2 linked regions of the Ovis aries genome follow. The protein of the gene in region 1 purifies or fractionates together with the protein of each later gene. This does not show direct contact. Links are inferred from orthologs where the notes say so. Each region holds a gene or a part of one and is shown in the gene's direction. Other genes may lie near its edges.

Region 1 (4,026 bases):
ATATCCAGAGCTCATTTCTGGAGGAGAAAATGAGCCAAGGATAGATGAGGCAGCCAAGAGTTGAAAACAGCGTCGTGTCCCACTGTCCATGAAGTCCTGCGGAATTGGAGACTTGGTTGCCATTGTCTCTGCTTTTGCGTCGAATGCAAACTTGTGTGTAAATAGGCTGAAGATGAGTGAGTGATCCCGCTCTGGGTATATTTAGGTGGGCAGGGGATAGACTGTGTAGAAATGCATCTGGAAGGAGGAGGGAGAGGTGTTTTGTGGGCCGGTGGAGGAAAGGTGACCCCAGGTCAGAGGGGACTCATGGCAGTGGAGAAAGACCCTTGAGGGAGCACTCTGAATAAGAGATGCTTTCACATAAAAGTGGCGCTGAAGCCGGAGGAGGAGGCTGGTGTGTTCTGTGGGGAGACAGACTACATCAGGAGGGGATGGCTAATTGATGAAAGAACTTGAAACCAAATGAACTGATATCTTAAGAGCTTGCCCAAACGTGCCTGTGTTGGGATTTCGAAGCTTGTCAGTAACTCAGATATCCCAAAGGAATGGCTACTGTGTCCACCCTTGGCTCTTTAGAAGATGATGTCAAAGGGTACTTGTAAAACACTGGTCCTCTGGGTACCTGATACACTGAAGGTATCTGCCGTAAACAAACACGGGTTGGGAGGGGGTAAGACCCAGCCTTAGGGTTTCCCAGGTGGTACAGTGGTAGAGAATCGGCCTGCCGATGCCAGAAACACAGGAGATGCAAGTTGGATCCCTGGTTAGGAAGATCCCCTGGAGAAGGGAATGGCAACCCACTGCAGTATTCTTACCTGGATAATCCCATGGACAGAGGATCCTGGCGGGGTACAGTCCATAGGGTCCCAAAAAGTTGGCCGCAACTGAGCACGCATGCGCAAAACCCAGCGTTAGGCATCCGAGTCCTCTGACTGGCTGCGTTTCTGCATCATGGGACCCTCTTAGCTGAGAGCAGGAGTGGCCCTCACTCACCATCATCCCACGGAGACAGCCTCTCGGGAATGAGTGGGGCAGGATGCTCCAGGGCAAAGCCCCTAATATGCTCTCATAGCCCCCCGGCCTCTGGGTACACATAAGCTGTGCGATTTTGAGAAAGAAGAGTGTACAGTCAGTCAGGCATGGTGTCAGACTTCACCTGCGGACGTGACAGTGAGCAGCAAAAATGCCTGATGTTGTATTTGCTTTTCTGCAGAAAGACACCATGCCGGTGGAAAGGATGCGTATGCGCCCGTGGCTGGAAGAACAGATTAACTCAAATATGATACCAGGGCTGAAGTGGCTTAGCAAGGTAAGTGTGTGCATGTGTGTGTGTATGTGAGTGTGTGTGTGTGTGTGTGTCTGTGAGAGAGAGATTCCTACTAAAAGCAGCTGTGTGTGGAGTGCTGCAAGTAAAATTGTTCTTTGTGTTCCAAATAGTATGCTTATTTATTACCGAAACTAACCGAGCAAAAGTGATTATGAAAATATCAAAGAATCATAAAAAGAAGATTTATCATCACTTCAGACTGTAGCCTTGACCCCGAGTTAAGGCTCTGGTCTCATGGATGACTGTTGTGGGAAGCGTCTGGCTGTATTTCTACTCAGTGCTTCTTACCCTTCTCCATCTCTGAATATTCTTTCTTGCTTCTCCTGGTTTTCTAGGGTTGGAGGACATGGAAACTCTAGGGCTTTCTATTGGGAAAGGAGCATGTTGATTTTCTTTTCAGTATTCTCTACATAAAGAAAACTTTTGTTTTTGTCTTAAAAAAAAAGATTTTACTTTTATTATCAAACTCTTGTTTGTGTGCCTACCTGTCCGAAAAAAGCAGTATTCTGTCCTTTACAACCCCCTCCCACATATGTACATAAATACTTTCTTACTTTCATCAACCTCAAAACTCTCAGTTTAGTTGATCCTGACTCTTAGGGGATGAATCAGGAAGCCATTGGATGTAAAAATAAAGAACGCCTGGAAATACTCAGTTATAATCTAGAAAAGCAATGACTGCATCATACTTTCTTAAGACAGCCCAAGAGAGATTTCTCTCTCACTACTAGGAGTATTACAGTTCTTCTGAGCAAGTGTCTTTTTCCTCTTCTGCCTCCCCGTGTGTTTTTAATCTTAAGGACACGATGAATAATTTAGCAGGTCAGGCTTTACCTTTGCATCACGTGCCAAGAGCTGACAGCCAGATTGTGACTGCTCCTAACAAGTATACACGATATTGTTCAGCCTGATTTTTGTATGAATATTGTTCCTTACTTCATTTTTATCTTCTCAGATATCTCTCAATCTTATCTCTTTTTTTCTTCTTCCTCATTTACCTATTTTTTCATTTATTTTAAATGTAGTGGTGTATTATATTTGAATGTTATCTATTTAAATGAGTCCCTTCTGAAACAAGATGGCATAGAAGTAAACAGAAATATTTTAAGTAAAGCATATGCTCATTTCAAATGACCTGTCCTATATTCTAAGGTCTTAGAGCAAACAGTATATTTTTCCAGCCTTGCTGTGTCTGTATGTAGTATTTGAGGTTTGTATCCCAGAGAGGCTTTGTAATTAGCCTCTTCCAAGGAAATAAGTCATCAGTTCAGTTCAGTCACTCAGTCGTGTCCGACTCTTTGCGACCCCATGGACTGTAGCACGCCAGGCCTCCCTGTCCATCACCAACTCCCGGAGTTCACTCAAACTCATGTTCATCTAGTCGATGATGCCATCCAACCATCTCATCCTCTGTCATCCCCTTCTCCTCTCGCCTTCAATCTTTCCCAGCATCACTGTCTTTTCAGATGAGTCAGTTCTTTGCATCAGGTGGCCAAAGTATTGGAGTTTCAGCTTCAGCATCAGTCCTTCCAATGAACACCCAGGACTGATCTCCTTTAGAATGGACTGGTTGGATCTCCTTGCAGTCCAAGGGACTCTCAAGTGTCTTCTCCTGCACCACAGTTCAAAAGTTCTTCGGCGCTCAGTTTTCTTTATAGTCCAACTCTCACATCCATACATGACTACTGGAAAAACCATAGCTTTGACTAGACAGACCTTTGTTGGCAAAGTAATGTCTCTGCTTTTTAATAAGCTGTCTAGGTTGGTCATAACTTTTCTTCCCAAGAGCAAGCATCTTTTAATTTCATGGCTGCAGTCACCATCATCAGTGATTTTGGAACCCCCAAAAATAAAGTCGTTGTTTCCACTGTTTCCCCATCCATTTGCCATGAAGTGATGGGACCAGATGCCATAATCTTAGTTTTCTGAATGTTGAGTTTTGACAAGTCATCAGGTAGATCTTTTTGTCGTTTTACAGACAAGGAAATCAAGGCTCATAGGTTTAGGAGGAGTGTATTCTGAAGAACTGGTAATATTGCCTGTATTGATTTAGGATGTGAAGTTAAAGCAGATGTTCCCGATTTCTGAAGAGAAGTCGGTTGTTTGCCTTTGCTTTTTCCTTTTCAAAACCCACCCACCCGTCTGGGCTAGCTTGACCCAGTGGCGTGCTTCAAACGTCACCACGTCTCCTGCAAGTGGGCTGTTAATACACTGCAGTGTGTTGTTGTCTAGTAGGTTGAACAGTAGCCCCCCTCAAAGATATGTCCACATCCTGACCCCCAGAACCCGTGGTTGTGACCTTATTTGGAGAAAGGATCTTGGCAGATGTAACTAACGTAAGGATGTCGATGAGATCATCCTGGATTACCTGGTGGGCTGATCCAGCGACAAGGGTACTTATAAGACACAGAAGAGGGACTTCCCTGGCAGTCAAGGGGTTAAGATAATTCACCTTCCAGTGCAGGGGCTGTAGGTTCAATCCCTGGTCAAGGAGCCAAGAGCTCACATGCCTTTCAGCCAAGAAACCAAAACATAGAACAGAAGCAATATTGTAACAGATTCAGTGAAGACTTTAAAATAATGGTCTGCATAAAAATAAAAACAAAAAAATCTTTTTTAAAAAAAAGACACAAATGAGGGGACACACCCACAGAGGGAAGGGCCAAGTGGAGAAGAAGGCGGGGACTAAAGTCTGCAGC
Region 2 (3,990 bases), on another chromosome or scaffold:
AAGAGTCAAACAAGGCTTAGCGACTGGAGAACAACAGACCCAGGCCTAGAGAAAAGAGGCTGATGTAGGTTAGAATCTGGAAACCTGTCTCTCCTCCACATGCCCCCTTCTCCAAGCATGCCCTGCAGCGTTCCATCGCCGGGAAGCACGAGGGTCCCAAAAGCCTGCTTTTGCCTATCAGGTAGTAAGCACTCAAGGTTGGAAAAACGAGGTCTGGTTCTCGCTCTCCACAGAAACTATGCCCCACTTCCAACTCTTGCTATCTCTGGCCTCATTTTCTCCTTCCAAATTAGTGAGCCGTCGAGGTCGAGAGCTCCTCTCAACCGGGCGCTCCGAAACCCCAGAAATTGAGGTGGGGGGTGGGTTGTGGACAGACAGCGGGAATCGTGAAGGCCTCAATCAACCTCTCAGGCGGCGGAAGTGCGTCGGTTTGTCGGCCCCGCGGAGCATTTCGGGAATTGTAGTGAAGTTCTGCGGGGTGCGCAGAAACTGACAGTGTAACCCTTTGGAGACCAGAGCGCGCCGGCTGAACTGGAACAGGGGCATTCGACCACTCCCTTTGGCAGATAAAGCAACTGACGCGGAGACCTTGAGTCCTCTCTTCTCTCCGGTTTTCGCTTGCCCCAGTCAAGAATCTGATATCCAAGATTCTAGGCAAGACGAAGTGCCAAGTGGACAGCCCTACCCAACGCTTGAGTCGCCAGCTTCCTGTCCGCCCCCCTACCCTGAAACCTTCCAGTTAAGGCCCCTCCGCCCCCGTCCCACGAACTGCTGCCTTCAGTAACCGGTAGCCGGCCCACCTTTTGAAGGGCGGGGAACTGAATCTCAGAGAAGGCAAGACTTGCCTAAAGTTGCACAGCAAGTCGGAGTAGAAACCGGATGCCTGTCCACCTCCCGCAATTTCTGAATCCTCGGTGGCTCTCACCATCCGTATCACATCCTCGCCCCCAACCTTGGTCTCCAGCTGCTTGGAGCGACCAAACTCCCTCCCCCGCGGCGAGGAGTAATCACGGTTGCGCAGCGGAGAGGCAGCGAGCCCCAACCCTCCTGCAGCCTGCGGTCCCCTTTAAGAACAGGCCCCTGCGGGACTACGTTTCCCAGAAGGCTTTGCCGGTGCGTTATGTAACTTTCCCTGCGAAGCGGCCTCTGGGGCAGAAAGAGGCGGCGGCGGCTGCGGCGGCGGGAGAGGCGGGAGCCCGAGGCGGCGGCGCCCGCGGCCCATCGCGGGGCCCGAGCTGTGCGCCGCGGCCCGGATCCTGGACCCGGCGGGGGCGCCGACGTGCCTCTGCCAGTCTTTTCGAGGAGGCGGGAGTGAGGAAAAAGGCTTAGGGCCCAGGGGGCGGGGAAGGGGGGCCGGGCCTGGATCCACTGGGAGGCCGAGCGAAAGGCCTGGCGGTGGCTCGCGCGGTCCCGGGGACGCGAATCAAACGGCGGCGGCGCGGATTGAACGGCGGCGGCGGCGGGTGGAAGGCGAGAGCCCGAACGGGCGCGTGCGGGGGCTATGGCGTCCGTGCAGGCGTCCCGCCGCCAGTGGTGCTACCTGTGCGACCTGCCCAAGATGCCGTGGGCCATGGTGTGGGACTTCAGTGAAGCCGTGTGCCGCGGATGCGTGAACTTCGAGGGCGCGGATCGCATCGAGCTGCTCATTGATGCCGCCCGCCAGCTCAAGCGCAGCCACGTGCTCCCCGAGGGCCGTTCTCCGGGGCCCCCAGCCCTCAAACACCCGGCCACTAAGGACCTGGCTGCCGCCGCCGCACAGGGCCCTCAGTTGCCGCCTCCACAGGCCCAGCCCCAGCCGTCGGGGACAGGCGGCGCTGTCTCCGGCCAGGACCGCTATGACAGGGCCACATCGTCGGGCCGCCTCCCCCTGCCCTCGCCCGCCCTGGAGTACACCCTGGGGTCCCGCCTGGCCAATGGACTGGGCCGTGAAGAGGCTGTGGCGGAGGGGGCGCGAAGGGCCCTGCTTGGCTCCATGCCCGGCTTGGTGCCCCCCGGGCTGCTAGCAGCTGCGGTGTCTGGCCTGGGAAGCCGAGGGCTGACGCTGGCACCCGGCTTGAGTCCTGCCCGTCCAGCTTTTGGCTCCGATTTCGAGAAGGAGAAGCAACAGAGGAATGCGGACTGTCTGGCAGAACTGAACGAGGCCATGAGGGGCCGGGCAGAGGAATGGCACGGGCGCCCCAAAGCCGTGCGGGAACAACTGCTGGCGCTGTCCGCCTGCGCCCCTTTCAATGTCCGTTTCAAGAAGGATCACGGGCTGGTGGGACGTGTGTTCGCCTTCGATGCTACTGCCCGCCCGCCAGGCTACGAGTTCGAGCTGAAGCTCTTCACCGAATACCCCTGTGGTTCTGGCAACGTGTACGCGGGAGTCCTGGCAGTCGCTCGCCAGATGTTTCATGATGCTCTGCGCGAGCCGGGCAAGGCGCTGGCCTCATCAGGCTTCAAGTACCTCGAATATGAACGCCGGCACGGCTCTGGGGAATGGCGCCAGCTGGGAGAGCTGCTAACGGATGGGGTCCGAAGCTTCCGCGAGCCAGCACCCGCCGAGGCCCTGCCCCAGCAGTATCCAGAGCCGGCCCCTGCAGCTCTCTGCGGCCCTCCCCCACGAGCCCCATCCCGGAATCTGGCTCCCACTCCACGCCGTCGCAAGGCCTCCCCTGAGCCCGAGGGCGAGGCAGCTGGGAAGATGACCACAGAGGAGCAGCAGCAGCGGCACTGGGTGGCACCCGGTGGCCCATTCTCCGCTGATGCCCCTGGTGTGCCCTCCCCTATCGCCGCCCTGAAGAACGTAGCCGAGGCCCTGGGCCACTCTCCCAAGGACCCTGCCGGGAGTGGGGGCCCTGTGCGCGCCGGGGGTGCCAGCCCCGCCGCCTCCTCCACGGCCCCACCTCCAGCCCAGCATCGTCTAGTGGCCCGCAACGGTGAGGCAGAAGTGAGCCCCACAGCAGGGGCGGAAGCTGTTAGCGGGGGTGGTAGTGGCACCGGGGCGACCCCTGGGGCCCCCCTGTGCTGCACCCTCTGCCGGGAGCGTCTGGAAGACACCCACTTCGTCCAGTGCCCCTCAGTGCCCGGACATAAGTTTTGTTTTCCCTGCTCCCGCGAGTTCATCAAGGCTCAGGGCCCTGCTGGAGAGGTGTACTGCCCCAGCGGAGACAAGTGCCCGCTAGTGGGCTCCTCTGTCCCCTGGGCCTTCATGCAGGGAGAGATCGCCACCATTCTTGCTGGAGACATCAAGGTTAAGAAAGAACGGGACCCCTAGGCCACTACTGCCACCAGTCTACTGCCTATCCACCCCCGCCCCCCTCCACCCCTTGCCACCCACCGCTGCTGCGGATAAATTATTCCCTCCCCTACCCAGGCCTGTGCCTCCCTCACCTGTGTACATACCCACTTCCTTATCCCAGATGGGTCCCCTGGGGTAGATGCATTGAGGGTGGGGGGAGAAAGCTGTCCGAGGGGGTGTTTGGGGTCCCCTGACCCCTCTGGTTTCCCTCTCCCCTCCTTGGCTTGGCTTTGCTGCTGCTTGTAGTTGAGGGAGAGGTGGCCCCCTCCTCCTTGAGAAGGGGCCTCCTGAAATCTCGCTCTTTATAAATGAAGCAAAAGCATTTTATTGCCGCCCCCCCCCCCCCATCTTACCCCCTTTCCCCCCTTCAATAAACCGAAAGATGGGTTTTTTCCTTCTTGGTCCCTTAGTTGTGTGCGATGCTGCGCCCCCTTTGGGACTAAACTGAACCTGCAAGGGAGAGGACGTCGCGTTGTAGCCTCCAGGTGGCGCCCTTCACTCAGGTGGGCTCACCGGCTGTTTTTACAAAGGCTGGCCTAGCCTTCTAGTCATCAGCCCGTTTTCCAGATGCCAGAACTAAGGCTCACGCGGGGAGCCGGGCGGGGGAAGGGGATGGCTCTTGAATGGTAGCCACAGCCAAGCTCGGGAATTAGGTTTCCCGTCTGGCCCATCCCCGGAAGGTAGAGGACACAGTGCCCCCGAGGGGGAGT

The links.
Region 2: the proteins of IRF2 (region 1) and IRF2BP1 purify together in Homo sapiens (affinity purification with mass spectrometry; 4 studies listed by BioGRID and IntAct, counting the BioPlex papers as one, with this or other methods). This does not show direct contact. The link is inferred for Ovis aries from reciprocal best matches to the Homo sapiens genes IRF2 and IRF2BP1.

Annotation. Positions count from the first base shown.
Region 1 is NC_056079.1:14,090,890-14,094,915, reverse strand, and holds the start of IRF2 (interferon regulatory factor 2), read left to right. Parts: upstream 1-1,222; coding exon 1,223-1,309; intron 1,310-4,026. UniProt on the Homo sapiens protein: Specifically binds to the upstream regulatory region of type I IFN and IFN-inducible MHC class I genes (the interferon consensus sequence (ICS)) and represses those genes. Also acts as an activator for several genes including H4 and IL7.
Region 2 is NC_056067.1:53,190,047-53,194,036, reverse strand, and holds IRF2BP1 (interferon regulatory factor 2-binding protein 1), read left to right. Parts: upstream 1-1,181; 5' UTR 1,182-1,501; coding exon 1,502-3,256; 3' UTR 3,257-3,674; downstream 3,675-3,990. UniProt on the Homo sapiens protein: Acts as a transcriptional corepressor in a IRF2-dependent manner; this repression is not mediated by histone deacetylase activities. May act as an E3 ligase towards JDP2, enhancing its polyubiquitination. Represses ATF2-dependent transcriptional activation.